Rattus norvegicus: one gene and its partners. The protein of the gene in region 3 interacts with the protein of the main gene of each other region in a biochemical or structural test. Links are inferred from orthologs where the notes say so. Each region holds a gene or a part of one and is shown on either strand. Other genes may lie near its edges.

Region 1 (4,571 bases), on a different chromosome or scaffold from region 3:
GAAAACAAATCAAAAGACAGTTGGTAGGTAGAGTGCTTGCTAAGGAAGCTCAATGATCCAAATGCAGATCCCCAGCACACATGTATACGCTGTGATGGCACACATCTACAACCCTAATGCTCCCAGGGAGAACACTGGTGGATCCTGGAGTCTTGCTGGCCATCCAATCAAGCAAAAATGGTCAACTCCAGCTTGCTTCAATAAAGAATCCCCATCTTGGGCTGGTTAAAAGCACTGACTGCTCTACCAGAGGTCCTGAGTTCAACTCCCAGCATCCACATGGTAGCTCACAACCATTTGTAATGCTCTCTTCTGGTGTGTCTGAAGGCAGCTACATTGTACTCATATACATAAAATATATAAATAAATCTTAAAAAGGAAAGAAAAATAAATAAATAAATTAAAATTAAAACAAAACAAAAACCCCCATCTCAAAAGCTAGAGAATAGAGGAAGATGTCAATGCTGGCCTCTGGCTGCTACGCACCCACCCACAGGTGAATGTGCGAAACACACAACCCAAGGAGTATCAGGTAAGAGAACAAAAGCTTGGGGCTTGGTGGTGAAGTGCTTGCCCAGCCAGCGTAAAAGACTGTAGGTCTGGAGCCAGGTGTGGTGGTGTATACCTTTAATCCCAGAACTCAGAAGGCAGAGGCATCTAGATCTCTGTGAACTGAAGGCTAGCCTGGTCTACATAGTAAGTTCCAGGACAGCCAGGGCTACATACATACTGAAACCCTGCCTCAAAACAAAACAACAAAAAACCACAAGCAAATAAAAAAAGGAATTAAAAAAAAAAAAAATCCAGGTTGGGGATTTAGCTCAGTGGTAGAGCGCTTGCCTAGCAAGCGCAAGGCCCTGAGTTCGGTCCCCAGCTCCAAAAAATAGAAAAGAAAAAAAAAAAATCCATCTTTCTCTTTTTTTCTACCTTTCTTGACAACAGACTCTGATACAAAGGTCCTCATAGACGCAAACCAAGTTTCCGAAATGGACAAACACTTAGTGGGTCCTCTGGGCACATACCGTAGGGGTTCAGGGCAGGGGCACTTGCCCTCCATCATGTCACAGACTGCAACTCTGATGGTCTCATGCCGGATACATTCATTATAGTTTTTGCTGTCTCCTGGATGTCTTTCCTGTAATTTGACAGACGCCATAGTACCCATTTAGTCAAAGAGAAAAGCAGTGCAAAGATACTTCAGGGTTAATACAGAGTACATGACCCAAACATATACAGTGAAAGAATGAAAAGAATGCCTTTCCCATTGTAAATCCAAGACGGCTAAGCCGTGGACCCCTGACCTCCCTACACATAAAAACACCCATTCTATTATATTATAGGTCAAATAACTAATCAGCAAACGATCCATCAGATTATTCTGCGTCTCAATAAAAGACTTATTAAGTAAAGATTAATGGGGAACAATTCTGGAGCTGCCTGGTTAATTTCTTTCTTCTCTGTAGGTTCCTCTATCTCTGTAAACTTATCAAAGGAACAATCTTTAACACTCCAAATAAACATAGAGTCAAAAGCTGGGCTAAACAGATGCAAATAAGTTATAAGGCACTTTGGCTCCAGGGTTCTATCCCAAGCATGCATGTGCATAACATACACAGACACACACACACACACATAGACACACACACACACACACACACACACACACACACACCACACACACGTTAAGCCTGGGCTACATGAGACCATCTGGGAAAAAAAGAAATAAAACAAAAACAAAACAAAGAAAAAGAAAACCTCTATTTCCTCACCTGAAAATTAGGACAATATTTACCTTATAGTTAGCATGAATACTAAACAATGTATAATATACAGGACTAGCGCAGCCTGGCATATAGCCATGTGTATTTCCTATGCCCTTTGCAGTGCCAACTAGAATATCCCTGTCTTAACTAATGACTAGCTACTCTAACTATGTAAATAATTACACATCCTATCTCCAAAATAATAGACAGCTAGAGAAAGACCTGGTGACACAGGCCTGTGATCCCCACCATCTGGAGAGACTGAAGCAAGGGGATCTAAAGTTCAAGGTCTAGGAGACCAGAGAGATGACTCAGTGGTTACAAAGACTTCCAGAGGACCCAAGTTTGGACCCCAGCACCCATACCTGTCAGCTCATAACCCTCTACAACTCTTCTAGCTTCCATGCCATGTGCACATGTGCACACAGGCATACCATACAACACACTCAAGTACAAGTAACAAAAACTAATCTTACGTAAAAAAGAAGCTCAAGTCTGCTTGGAATATAGAGAATTCAAGACTGACCTATACAACTCCTCAGAACCTGTTTCAAAATGAAAACCTCAAAGGGTTAGGGAAGCACTTCACGGCTAAGTTCCGTATATTTGATCCTTGGTATTATACGGGGGAGGGAGCTAGCTCCTCAGGCAGCAGTCACTGCAGAGCACACTAAGGCCATACTGCAGAATGCAGACACACTTAAAAACCCATTGGCATGGAGCTGCAGAGATGCTCATCAGTTAAGGGTACCTGCTGCTCTTGTAGAAGACCAGGGTTTGATTCTCAGGGCCCACATGGTTGTTGATGTCTCTTCACTCCAGTCCCAGGGGACCTGATGCCCCCTTCTGACTTCCTTGGCATCAGGCACTCATGAGGTACACAAACATAGATATAGAAAAAACTACCCATATACATAAAATAAATTAAAAAAATCAAAAATTCCCAAAATAGGCTCAAAACTGATTTCTTTTTTTTTTTTTTTTTTCCGGAGCTGGGGACCAAACTCAGGGCCTTGAGCTTGCTAGGCAAGCGCTCTACCACTGAGCTAAATCCCCAACCCTCAAAACTGATTTCTAAATGATACTACTTCGACTAAGTTGGCTAACCCAAGCTAAATATGTAGTAATTTTATTGTAAGATTTGTTTGTTTCCTTTCTTTCTTTTCTTCTTTTTTCCCTTTTTTGAGGCAGGGTCTCACTATGGAGGCTTAGCTGGCTTGGATATCACCACACAGACTACACTAGCTTTAACCTCAGAGCTCCACCAGCTTCTGCCTCCCTAGGACTGGGGTTAAAGGTGTGCTTCACCAGGCCCAGCTGATACTGCAATTCTTGCAAATAAAGAGCACTTATGTCCTTTCCCTCTCTATATACTAGTATTATGTGGAGGCTATCTAGGTGGAAAAACAGAAAAGGACTCTCCAGGGTAGCTCAGAGCACCTACAGCTCAATACTGCAGGTCTCAGCACAAGGCCCAACAGCCCTTACCTGTTCAAAGCCTGGCTCGTTGTGGTAGGGATTCTCAGTCATCAGGGACTGGATGGAGATAAGCACAGAAGAGATGCTCTGGGCTGGGCTCCAGGCGGGGCCAGTCCACGTACTGCAAACACAGCAGAGGGAGAAGGTGATGCCGAGAGCAGCCCTGTGCAGCATCACCCTGACGCCAGCAGCATCCCCACCGTTTGTGAGTGACTCACCCAAGTTGCCCTTTCACTATTAACACTTGGGAAATTCCCAGCCTCTGTTTTACCCTCATTCACCAGAATAGGCGAATGCCTAAATTCTCTCATCAAATGAGAATAAAACAGAGAGCAAGCAAGAACTACAACTTTGAAAAGATGCTCTTTGATCTAGAAAATAAACAGTGACCAAGGAAGGTGATCCTACCAAACAAAACAAGAACCCAAGTTAGGGAAATAACTCTAAAGGTCGTCTAAATGTTAACCTGTGACTTCAAGGAACTTATTAGTTACTGGTGGTAACAGAGTTGGTGAAGGGAGAGCAGCTAGTCAAAAGCATAAAGGTGACTGAGGCCTATGAGGACACATGTTGAAGTTTATAGATTCAGCTTTGTAACAAGACAAGCAGAGTCAAATTCTCTGACTACGACAACCCTGCTAAGACAGAAACGATGGGGTGTTTACAGAATGTGGAGTGTCTGACAATATGTAAAATATCAGATAGAAAACAACACCAGGGAAAATATCCCACACATACACACATATTTTTTAAGACTGGGTCTTGGTATACATCCTTGGCTATTCTTAAACTTAAAAGCAACCCTCCTGCCTCTGCCTTCTGAATGCCAGGGATGAGAAATATACTACACCACTCCTGGTTAAACCACATTAGGTATTAGAGTGGAGCACTTGAATGCCAATGCTTGCCTTCCTTCCTTCCTTTATTTATTTAGAGGTAGGTGTCAGTATTTATTTATAGGTAGGGAGTTACTAATGTAGTCCTAGCTGTCCTAGAACTTGCTAAGTAGACCAAGTATCCCTGAACTTATTATAGGAATCTGTCCTACCATGCATGACAGGTATTTTTTTTTTTTTTTCCCGAAGCTTGGGACTGAACCCAGGGCCTTGCGCTCGCTAGGCAAGCGCTCTACCACTGAGCTAAATCCCCAACCCCCGACAGGTATTTATTTTAGCTCATTTAATTAACAAGATGGCACGAGAGATGGAAACAGAACACAGCCTGAGCCACGACTGGGTTACTTCAGTTAAGTAACCATGGCCCTTCCCTTCTACACCTGAGGAAGACCCAAGTCACAGGTGTGGAGTAAACCTCCAGAGAGCGCTCTCT
Region 2 (4,671 bases), on a different chromosome or scaffold from region 3:
TATAGACTCCCTGACTGCAGGGCACTTCCAGCTCTGTGACCTTGAGCAAGTTGCTTATCTTCACTGTGCCTTTAAAATGAGGGCAGTCCTCACTTACCTACTTATTTAGGAAGAGTAAAGGCTCCTCCACTATTACAGAGCACACTCTTTTCTGACCTGTGAAATGCTTTCGCTCACTCATCCTTCCCAGAATACAGCAGTGTGAATTCCACAATTAAACCTGGGCAGGGCACACACCTGCGTGTGTACACAGCACTCAGGAGGCAGAGGCAGGAGGATCAGGATTAGAAGCTACACGGCCATTTCAAGGCAAGCCTGATCTCGAAAAGGTAAAATGAAGAACTAAAGTTGAAATAATAAAACATTTGTGTACATTTTCAACAGTAATCTTACTATGTTAAGAGGCACCAACCTTCAACAAAATGTGAGCCCTCAGTAACAAACTCCAGTAACTGGCCGAAGATCGCAGTGATGGCCTTCTTTGCCAGCACGAAGTGCTTCAGTGGAGATACGGTTTCTGCCATTATGCACCTAGGGTGAGAAAAAGGTTAGAAAAGCAGTCATTAGCCTCCGGGTGATAAATGCCTGGGGTCTCAGCTACTGGACAGGCTGAGGGAGGAGGTGCACTCAAGCCAGGAAATCCAGGGTTACTTGGACAACATAACATAGCAGGGCTTTCCTCATCACCAAAGCTCGGCATGAAGAGGTGGTTCAACAGTTAAAGAGAACTGGCTGCTCTTCTACAAGACCCAGCTCTATTCCAGCACCCACATGGCAGCTCACAACTGTCTAGGACTCTAGTTCCAGGAGTTCAGATATCCTCCTCTGACCTCCACAGACACCAGGTACACACATGGTACACCAAAACTTGGTTGCACATACATGCAGCCAAAATACCCCTATACATAAAATAAGGAAGTAGGTGAATGGTAAAGGAGGTGTGGTGTCCCAGGTCTGTAATCCCAGCAGTGACAAGACTGAAGGAGGCCAGCCTTGGTAAACCTTGTTCAAAACAAAAAACCCAAACAAGGGCTGGAGAGCCGGTTCAGTAGGTAAGAGCACTGGCTGCTCTTCCACAGGTCCTGAGTTCAATTCCCAGCAATCACATGGTGACTCACAACCATCTGTAATGGAATCCCATGCCCTCTTCTGGTGCGTCTGAAGACAGCTACAGTGTACTTATATCTAAGTAAATCTTTAAGAAAAAAAGAAAAAAGAAAAAAAAAGCCCAAGCAAACAAAAAACTCTGAATCCTTCAAAATGGTTCAACCAGTAAGACTATACAGCCAAACTGTGAAAGTCTAACGCCTCCACACAAAAATCAAATGTTATTTTAAAAACCATATGATAGGGGCTGGGGATTTAGCTCAGTGGTAGAGCGCTTACCTAGGAAGCACAAGGCCCTTGGTTCGGTCCCCAGCTCCGAAAAAAAGAACCAAAAAAAAAAAAACCAAAAAAAAAAACCATATGATAAACAGGGCAGTGGTGGGCAATGGTGATGCACGCATAGTCCCAGCATTCTGAGACAGCGGATCTCTGTGAGTTCAAGGCCACCCTGGTCTACAGAGAAAGTTCCAGGACAACCAGAAAGCCTGTCTCAAAAATAAACAAAAACAAAAAACAAAAACATTTGAAATGTGCATGTTTCTGGGGCTAGGCAGATGTCTCAGGGGTTAAGAACACTTGTTGCTCTTCAGGATTTAAATCAGGTTTATGGGACCTACACCGTAGCTTGCAACCACCTGTAACTCCAGTTCCAGGGGATCTTATGCACTATTCTGACCTCCAAGGGCACTGGGCAGGAACTGTGGTTAAACATACATACATAAATGCAGGAAAAACATACACATAAAAAATCTAAAAACAAACATTTTAAAATCATACTTATTCTGATACTTGCTAGTTCATGCCTGACATGTCTCAATTCCCTAATAGCAAAAAATTAACCTGACCAAATAGATCAAATACATTTTGGTATTATTTACTTAGTTATAGAAACCATGTTAGTCAGAAACAAAAGACCACTCTTAGGTGATCTCCCACTAAAACGCATGAAATTTGCCCCCCCCCTTTGCCTGTAACCAGTTACTTAGGAGCCTAACACAGAAAAATCTGAAAATTCAAGTCTACAGAGTCAACAGAGTGAGATCAAGGCTTGCCTGGGTCTCTTAGTCCATTCTGTCTCAAAACCAGACGTTTAGAAATGAGTTTAGGGGTATAGAGGCACTTACCTAGCATGTGAGGGGCCCAATCTTCAGTTCTGGAAAAGTAAATATAATAAATGTAAAATCGGTAAAGGCTAGTGACAGAAATCTTGGTTGTATTTCCTAATTTATTTTCCAAACTAGTTTAGCTAAACTGTGTGCATGTGACTCTTAAGGACTTCAGGGACCTGGGTTAGTCAGAGGAAGCCAAGATCTCAAAACATAACTAAGTTATTAACTTTCCCAGTTAGAGGTGTAGAGAAGAAAATAAAATGTCCAGGTCACAATACAGTACAAGCATCAAGAAGGCAGCAGCTTTCGTCACAATTACGGGGTCAAGACCTAAAGGAGGCATGAAGGCTTCAAGCCAAAGTCCCCAAACTTAAAAGTAATGTTAAATCTAAAGTGAAAGACGTTCAACCTGGAAGCTCCCATGAAAAGCCACCAAAAACGATCACACACTAATGCCGGCAAACGTAGCGCCGAGGTCATCAGGAGGGTGGCTCCCTCCAGAATCCTGAACTGACGGCGCGGAGGAGGTGCGTGGGGAGAGGAAGCCGCGTGGGCCGTAAGCCTGCCCAGCCGGCTGGATTCCTACCTGGACAGGCCTTCCCACAGGCTGGCCGCCGGTCGTTCTTGCCCGGCCCTGCCGTCAGGGCGCTCGCGCTGCGCCTGTCCGGAGCTCGAAGGTCACCCCGGGCGTCGCCACCCGCCAGCGGTCACTCATTCCGTCCCAGCTCCCGACTGTCACCCAGCAACCACTGCTCCGCCACAGTTCCCTGGCTGTCTCGTCCGCCGGAGAGCGGGGAGGAGCCCAAAGGAGGGGCTGGGGGCGGATACTTCCGGTGATTCGGATCTCCTATTGGCTGTTGCTCCGCAACCGGAACTGCATATATTGCGAGTGCCATTTTCCTTCAGGGTAGAAGGCGAGGTTTGTTTTGGGCAGGCACTCTTAATCACTGGGTTTTCTGTTCCATCTTATAACTCCTCCCCTTCAGAGTATTTTCCCTTCAGAGTCTTCAAAGTTCAAAGGCGCCATGTATGAAAAGATGCCCATGGTTATCTTGGGGTGTAGCGGGGAGAAGTGGGGAGGGGGCGTCCCAAAACCACGTAGATTCTTGTTTATCAAGCCAACAGGGAAAAGTCTGGTCTTGATTGGTTTTCTGGGGTTACTGGAGAGAGCTGTGTGTTTCTACTTACTGTAAGAGGTGTTACTTAAGAAAATTAATTTGTCCATGATTTAAACTTTGTTAGGAATCACCTGGGAATCTTGTTAAACCGTTGATTGATTGATCAAGGGTAAAGCCCAAAGACTCTGTGTTCCACTTTCCTGGAGAGCTTCCACAGCAGGTGTCCTGGGAGTTTGTTAGCAAATGAGATGCTTTTGCAAGGGAAGCCCCTTCATCTCTGTGAACGGCAGGTACCTCATCTATAAAATACTAAAAAAATGCCTACCTTATGAGTTGTGGGAAAGTGTGTAAAGTGCTTAAGACACTGATAGGCACCTGAAAGAGCTAGATAAATAAAAACTGTGGTTCTGTTGGATAGGTAACTATCGAGCATGCACAGTGAATGAGGTCATTTTGGACTGGGCTTACTATTATGGACAAAAAACAGGGCAAGAGGATAGAGTGTCCGAAGAAAAATAAGAAATGAGGAGCCAAATAGGTGTGTGTTTTCTGAAAGGATGATGTCATTTCTCGGGGCTTTCCAGGACCATTACTGGGAATCTCTGGAGAAAAACTGTCCAAAGACATAGAAAGCACAGTGGTAAGATGGATAAAATAAAAGACAAGCATGGCCTGGAGAGATGGCTTAGCGGTTAAGAGCACAGACTGCGGGTTGGGGATTTAGCTCAGTGGTAGAGCGCTTGCAAGGCCCTGGGTTCGGTCCCCAGCTCCAAAAAAAAAAAAAAAAAAAAAAGAAGAAGAAAGAAAAAGAGCACAGACCGCTCTGAGGGGTTGGGGATTTAGCTCAGTGGTAGAGCGCTTGTCTAGCAAGCGCAAGGCCCTGGGTTCGGTCCCCAGCACCGGAAAAAAAAAAAAAAAAAAAAAAAAAAGACAAGCATGGTGGAGTGTTGGAAAGATGAGGGATGAGGGTGAGCGAAATAAATGTTGGAAGGAAGGCAGGTGTAGAATAATAAAAGCTAAGATAAGAAGTCTGACTTTTAAATCAGGGTCTCAGTACTTAGCCTAAATGAGCCTTAAACTTGAAATTCTGCTGAAATCTGCTAAAGGCTAGCGTTCTAAATGTTTATATGCACAAGACATGGTTTTAGGTGTAATGGAAAACTTTTGGCAGGGAGAATAATAAAATTTGGTATGTTTGTTTGCACTGAGGCAAGGTCTGCCTTTGTAACTCTCACTAACTTGAATCTCCCAAATCATGAGGTTACTTTGGTTGCTGTAGGTACTGTGTGGAAAGAGATTCCACTTAATGCTTGCTCGCTCGCTCTCTCTCTCTCTCT
Region 3 (4,571 bases):
TGCCATTAGGTCCCCTTTCCCCTACCTGGACTGCCTCATTGTTGGGCCTCAATGGGAGAGAATGTGCTTAGACCTGCTGGGACTAGACTAGATATCTCAGGGTGGGGTGGTACTCAGTGAGGGCTCCCTTTATTTGAGGAGTAAATGAGAGGGCAATGGGGGAGGGGTAAAAAGGCAGATAGTTGGAAACAGCAGGCAAATGGAAGAAATGCTATATATGGTTTGACAAGGGGAATGAGAAGACACTGTGGGAGACATCATGGTATCTAGCCAGAGCCTAATGAAGAGAGTGGTGGCTACAGCAGAGATGATGTCACTTCAAGATCTCTTTAGAAATCCACTGTGACCTGTGAACTAAGAACACAGGGTGCAAATTCCTTACACAGTGAGCAGAGGCCTTCACAGAACCTAGACTCAAAGCCTTGCCTGGAGTTCTTTCACAGAGCCCAGCGTCCTATCATAGGGCCCATGCTCTCTTCAGCTGTCTGCATAGTGCCTTCCATTTCTAACATTTCTTTCTGGGGCAGCCACATTCTGCCTTTGAGTTTAATGCAGTGGACTCTGTGGAGGGAATGAGCATTTGTTCAGTCTGTTGGAGCAGAATATTCTATACACTCATGGGAATCTCGAGATTCCAATCAAGCAAATTCTCCGCTTGATTCCCTCTGTTCCAGAAGGACTGTGAAAGGCACAAAGCAGTCTTGGTTTGCAGGTCACTGGCCAGGGTATAAGCAGGAAACACCTTGGGAAAACTGTTTTTGTTTCTGTTTTTTGTTTTTTTTTTTTCTAACTATTGCTCTATAGAATAAACTTCTCTGTTATAAATGAGAGAAAATTTTTGTCATTCACTGGAGGGCAGGTGAGGGGCAAGAGGCTTCAGAGACATTTCACTGGCCATTAAAGGCTTGGAGTAATGTTCTTTCTTCTCTCTCTGCCCCTGGTCTTGTCTAGTGTTTGTCAGGTTCAACTCCAGCTATGGCTTCCCAGTGGAGGTCGATTCTGACACCAGCATCTTCCAGCTCAAGGAAGTGGTTGCTAAGCGACAGGGGGTTCCAGCTGACCAGCTGCGAGTGATTTTTGCTGGGAAGGAGCTGCAGAATCACCTGACAGTACAGGTGAGTCTCCCTGGGTGGGTGGTCCCTGGGATGTAGCCAGGGCCAAGGCCCTTGCAGTTTATGCTGCCAATCTGACATTCATGCCTGAGATCTAATAGAATAAATAGTGCCTGGGGATTCCTTGAACTTTACTCCACACGGCTTCATTAATTCTGACCTTCTTAATTATGCATTAAAACAGTATGCAGGAAGGACTGGAGGAACAAGTGTGAGTGAGCCAAGAGGGGGAGAAAGAAGCCAGGCGCTCGGCTTAGTGAATAAATGTTTACTGACTGAGGGAGCAGGAAGGCACAATTTCTGGGTCTGTTCAATTTTTACCTTCCTTATTCCATTTGAATCTTAATGAAGAAGGATTCAAATAAATTGTTCCCTATAAGGCTGCTCAGCCCAAGCTCTGTGAGGGATTTACAACCCGACTGTGACCCCTGGAGGACACTCACAGCTGCTGCCTGGACTACAGCAGACACTGGCCCAGGGCCCCATTTGCCGAGGGCTCTGAGCGGTGGATAGGCAGCCTGGAAATTACACAGCAAAAGTCCATCTTCGTATCTCCAAGCATATACAGAGTTATCCCTGGCCTACACCCCGATACAGAACCAAGTGAACCATGGGGTTCTGCTTCCTGTGTATCTGGCCCCTGCTGTGCCATGGAAACCCTCTTCTTTATGGCATCTTGTACATTTGGAGAAATGAGTTTTGCAGGCATCCAAGGAACTGGTTAGCAATCGATGCGCAGGCCGGTTGCCTAGAATGAGAGAACAGTGAGTGTTTTGGAGGGAAGTTCAGCAGAAATGGCCACATTTACTCAAGTGATTAGAAGCAGGGAAAAGCTCGTTCCCTCCTCTCGGTGTATGGTGGAATTGAGCCCCTGCTCCCAGTTGGATGGGGATCTGTGTTGTATTCAGACCTCAGACTGCCTAGTCCCGTCAGTCCTCTTGTGGACTGAGGTGTTCGCTGCTTTGTGAAAAGCTTTTTGGAATGTGGGTGTACAAAGAAACTATAGAAATGCAAATCACTTCTGCTATTCTCCCTGCCCCCGCTGGTGGCAGTAGGACTCACGCCCATTGTGCAGAAACTGCTGTGCCTTGCTTTCCTGCTATTTGTTTTCATAAGGGAAGTGCCTGTGCTAAGAAGTGTTTTGATTTTGTTTTTTATTTCAGTCAACTAAAAAGCTTTCTGCCATTCCTGCCAACTTCTAAACCTAAGTGGTCTCCTTCTCAAATAAATGGTTCTAAAGCTGTTTCTTGAGTCCAGATAGACTTTATTATGAGAACCATTAGATTTTAAAGCCCCTTCGCCTGTACAAGGTGGGGCGAGTGTAACAGTTAGCTGTTCCTTATTCAGTAAGATTAACTGCTGTGGGGGACTGATTTTTATAAAAATCTATGCATTGTTTCAACAGTATTAGCTTGGTTCACACTTTTAGAGCTTCCAGTGCTCAGAGCTTCTCAGGGGCTTGGGTGAAAAGGAGTTCATTCCAGAAGTCTGCTCTTTACCCGCTTAGGGCTCTAAAGTAAAGGAATTCGAGATCAAACTGTCTGCCAGCACCACATAGGATGAAATCATTGAGGTGCCATGAGGTCCAGCCTATAGTACGCACATGCTATGCATAGTTAATGCTGTATAGCCCATAGATATCGTGATGTTTCAAAGGTGCAGACTGGGAAGGTACCAGGACAGAGCTCCCAAATGGACTGAATCCAGATGAGGATTCCTCTGGTGGAAGGACAGCACCCTCCACAGCCTCGGGAGGGAAGATGGGCTTCGTCCTTCCGGAAGCTGGAGGCGATACTGAAGACAGAGGGAAAGATGGAGTCGGCAGGGCATTTGACAGAATCCTGACAGACCTGGCCCTGCAGTGAACGGGATTCCATAAAACGCCATGGGAAGGGAGCTGAATTTCCAGGGGTGCTGAGAGTTTATGAGGAGTGGATATTTATGGAGAGATATTTAACTAACCGTTGGAACCTGGGTCTGGATGTAGGGTGCAAATTTAATATTCACAGATAGTTGCCCAGAGAGAAATACTTTTACAGCAAGTGAAATAGATTCAATCACCAAGGGCTGAGCACAAAGCAGTATGAGTATCCTCATTTCGGTGACAAGGACGCGTGTCAGGAAGTACAGTCCACCCAACTGGCACTCTTGAGGCTTTCCTACAGACTCTAAATTCCGAGACTTAAAACATAAAAGCAGAACATAGCTGTTCTTAGGGGCTGAGGGGATCATTCAGTGACAAAGGTTGTCACAGAAACACAAAAACCTGAATTCAGATCCCAGAACCCACTTTAAGCCTGACGTAGCGATAGCCCTATACAGTTGCTTGTAATTCCAGTGCTCTTAAGGGGACATCAGAAGCTAACAGGGCAGCTAGCCTGGCAGCAGTAAACAAGACACCCTGCCGCAAATTCAGTGAAGGTGGGAACTGACATGTGTGCTTGTCCACACACACACACACACACACACACACACACGAATGTGTTTGTGCATATAAACACTGTACACATAGACACAAAGTTTTTTTTTTTTTAATTTCTGTTATAAGCAATGGGAATTTGGTGAAAGTGACAGAGGACTCTGTAATATGTTCAGCTCCACTTATCACTGAAAGGAAGCAGACATACTTGGAGAGTTCTCAGAGGAGAAATGCTGTCTATCAAGCTCGGCCACATGGACTAGCCCCTGCCTTTATGAATGGCTGACACTTGCGTCAAGTCATAATGAGTGTGAGTCGATTTTGCATCCATTAAGACTGTTTTCCTTAACATAATATCATGCTAAGCACATGCATGGTATTCTAACAGTGTTGATATCTTCATCTACCTATTAAATCTTTAGATTGTGTCCAGTTTTTAATGTAACAAATCAAGGCAAATGGATGTTAACACACAGGATACACATTGGAGAATTTGGCTTCTTTGTCTCACATTGCTCATTTTAAAGGCAGAAATAACTGAGCCCTGCAGTCTTGCTGAAACTTTGTAAGGAAAGGAATGTGTCCGTTCATGTGAAAGGGTTATGTATAAGCCTACGTTTACAAATGTGTGTCATTGTTAACTGTGGGTATCCTGATGGCCGTTCTTAGATCATCTCAAGACTCCCCTCAGACATCATAATCCATGCGTGTAAAATAAGCTAGAGATGAGGTAGCAGTAACAGTGCAAGCGTCATGCTATGCTGTGTATGTGTGCATGTATGTGTGCTCTATTTCCCCACTATAACAAACAGAAAAAGCCCCATTTTCTTCCTTCCCTAAGAGTTCCTGTCAGCTCTTGCAACCGAGTACTAAAAGCCCACTTGAGTCACTCTTCTCCATTTAGCCAAACACAACACACTGCATGTCAAAATTCCTCAAATCACCCTCTGTAATTTCAAATTTGTTATTAAAAATTATACAAGGAAAATGAATTCTAGTACAGTTGTTTATATCCCAAACTGTGAACTTTACCATTATAT

What was found.
Region 1: the proteins of Prkn (region 3) and Ube2z form a complex in vitro, tested with the Homo sapiens proteins (2 studies listed by BioGRID). The link is inferred for Rattus norvegicus from reciprocal best matches to the Homo sapiens genes PRKN and UBE2Z.
Region 2: of the proteins of Prkn (region 3) and Mfn1, one has a biochemical effect on the other in vitro, tested with the Homo sapiens proteins (3 studies listed by BioGRID). The link is inferred for Rattus norvegicus from reciprocal best matches to the Homo sapiens genes PRKN and MFN1.

What each region holds. Positions count from the first base shown.
Region 1 is NC_086028.1:81,502,841-81,507,411, forward strand, and holds part of Ube2z (ubiquitin-conjugating enzyme E2 Z), read right to left. Parts: intron 3,364-4,571; coding exon 3,252-3,363; intron 1,136-3,251; coding exon 1,023-1,135; intron 1-1,022. UniProt on the Homo sapiens protein: Catalyzes the covalent attachment of ubiquitin to other proteins. Specific substrate for UBA6, not charged with ubiquitin by UBE1. May be involved in apoptosis regulation.
Region 2 is NC_086020.1:117,240,105-117,244,775, reverse strand, and holds the start of Mfn1 (mitofusin-1), read right to left. Parts: upstream 3,019-4,671; 5' UTR 2,803-3,018; exon of another isoform or gene 2,626-2,802; intron 2,261-2,625; 5' UTR 2,232-2,260; intron 532-2,231; 5' UTR 525-531; coding exon 413-524; intron 1-412. UniProt on the Homo sapiens protein: Mitochondrial outer membrane GTPase that mediates mitochondrial clustering and fusion. Membrane clustering requires GTPase activity. It may involve a major rearrangement of the coiled coil domains.
Region 3 is NC_086019.1:52,201,734-52,206,304, reverse strand, and holds part of Prkn (E3 ubiquitin-protein ligase parkin), read left to right. Parts: intron 1-951; coding exon 952-1,115; intron 1,116-4,571. UniProt on the Homo sapiens protein: Functions within a multiprotein E3 ubiquitin ligase complex, catalyzing the covalent attachment of ubiquitin moieties onto substrate proteins. Substrates include SYT11 and VDAC1.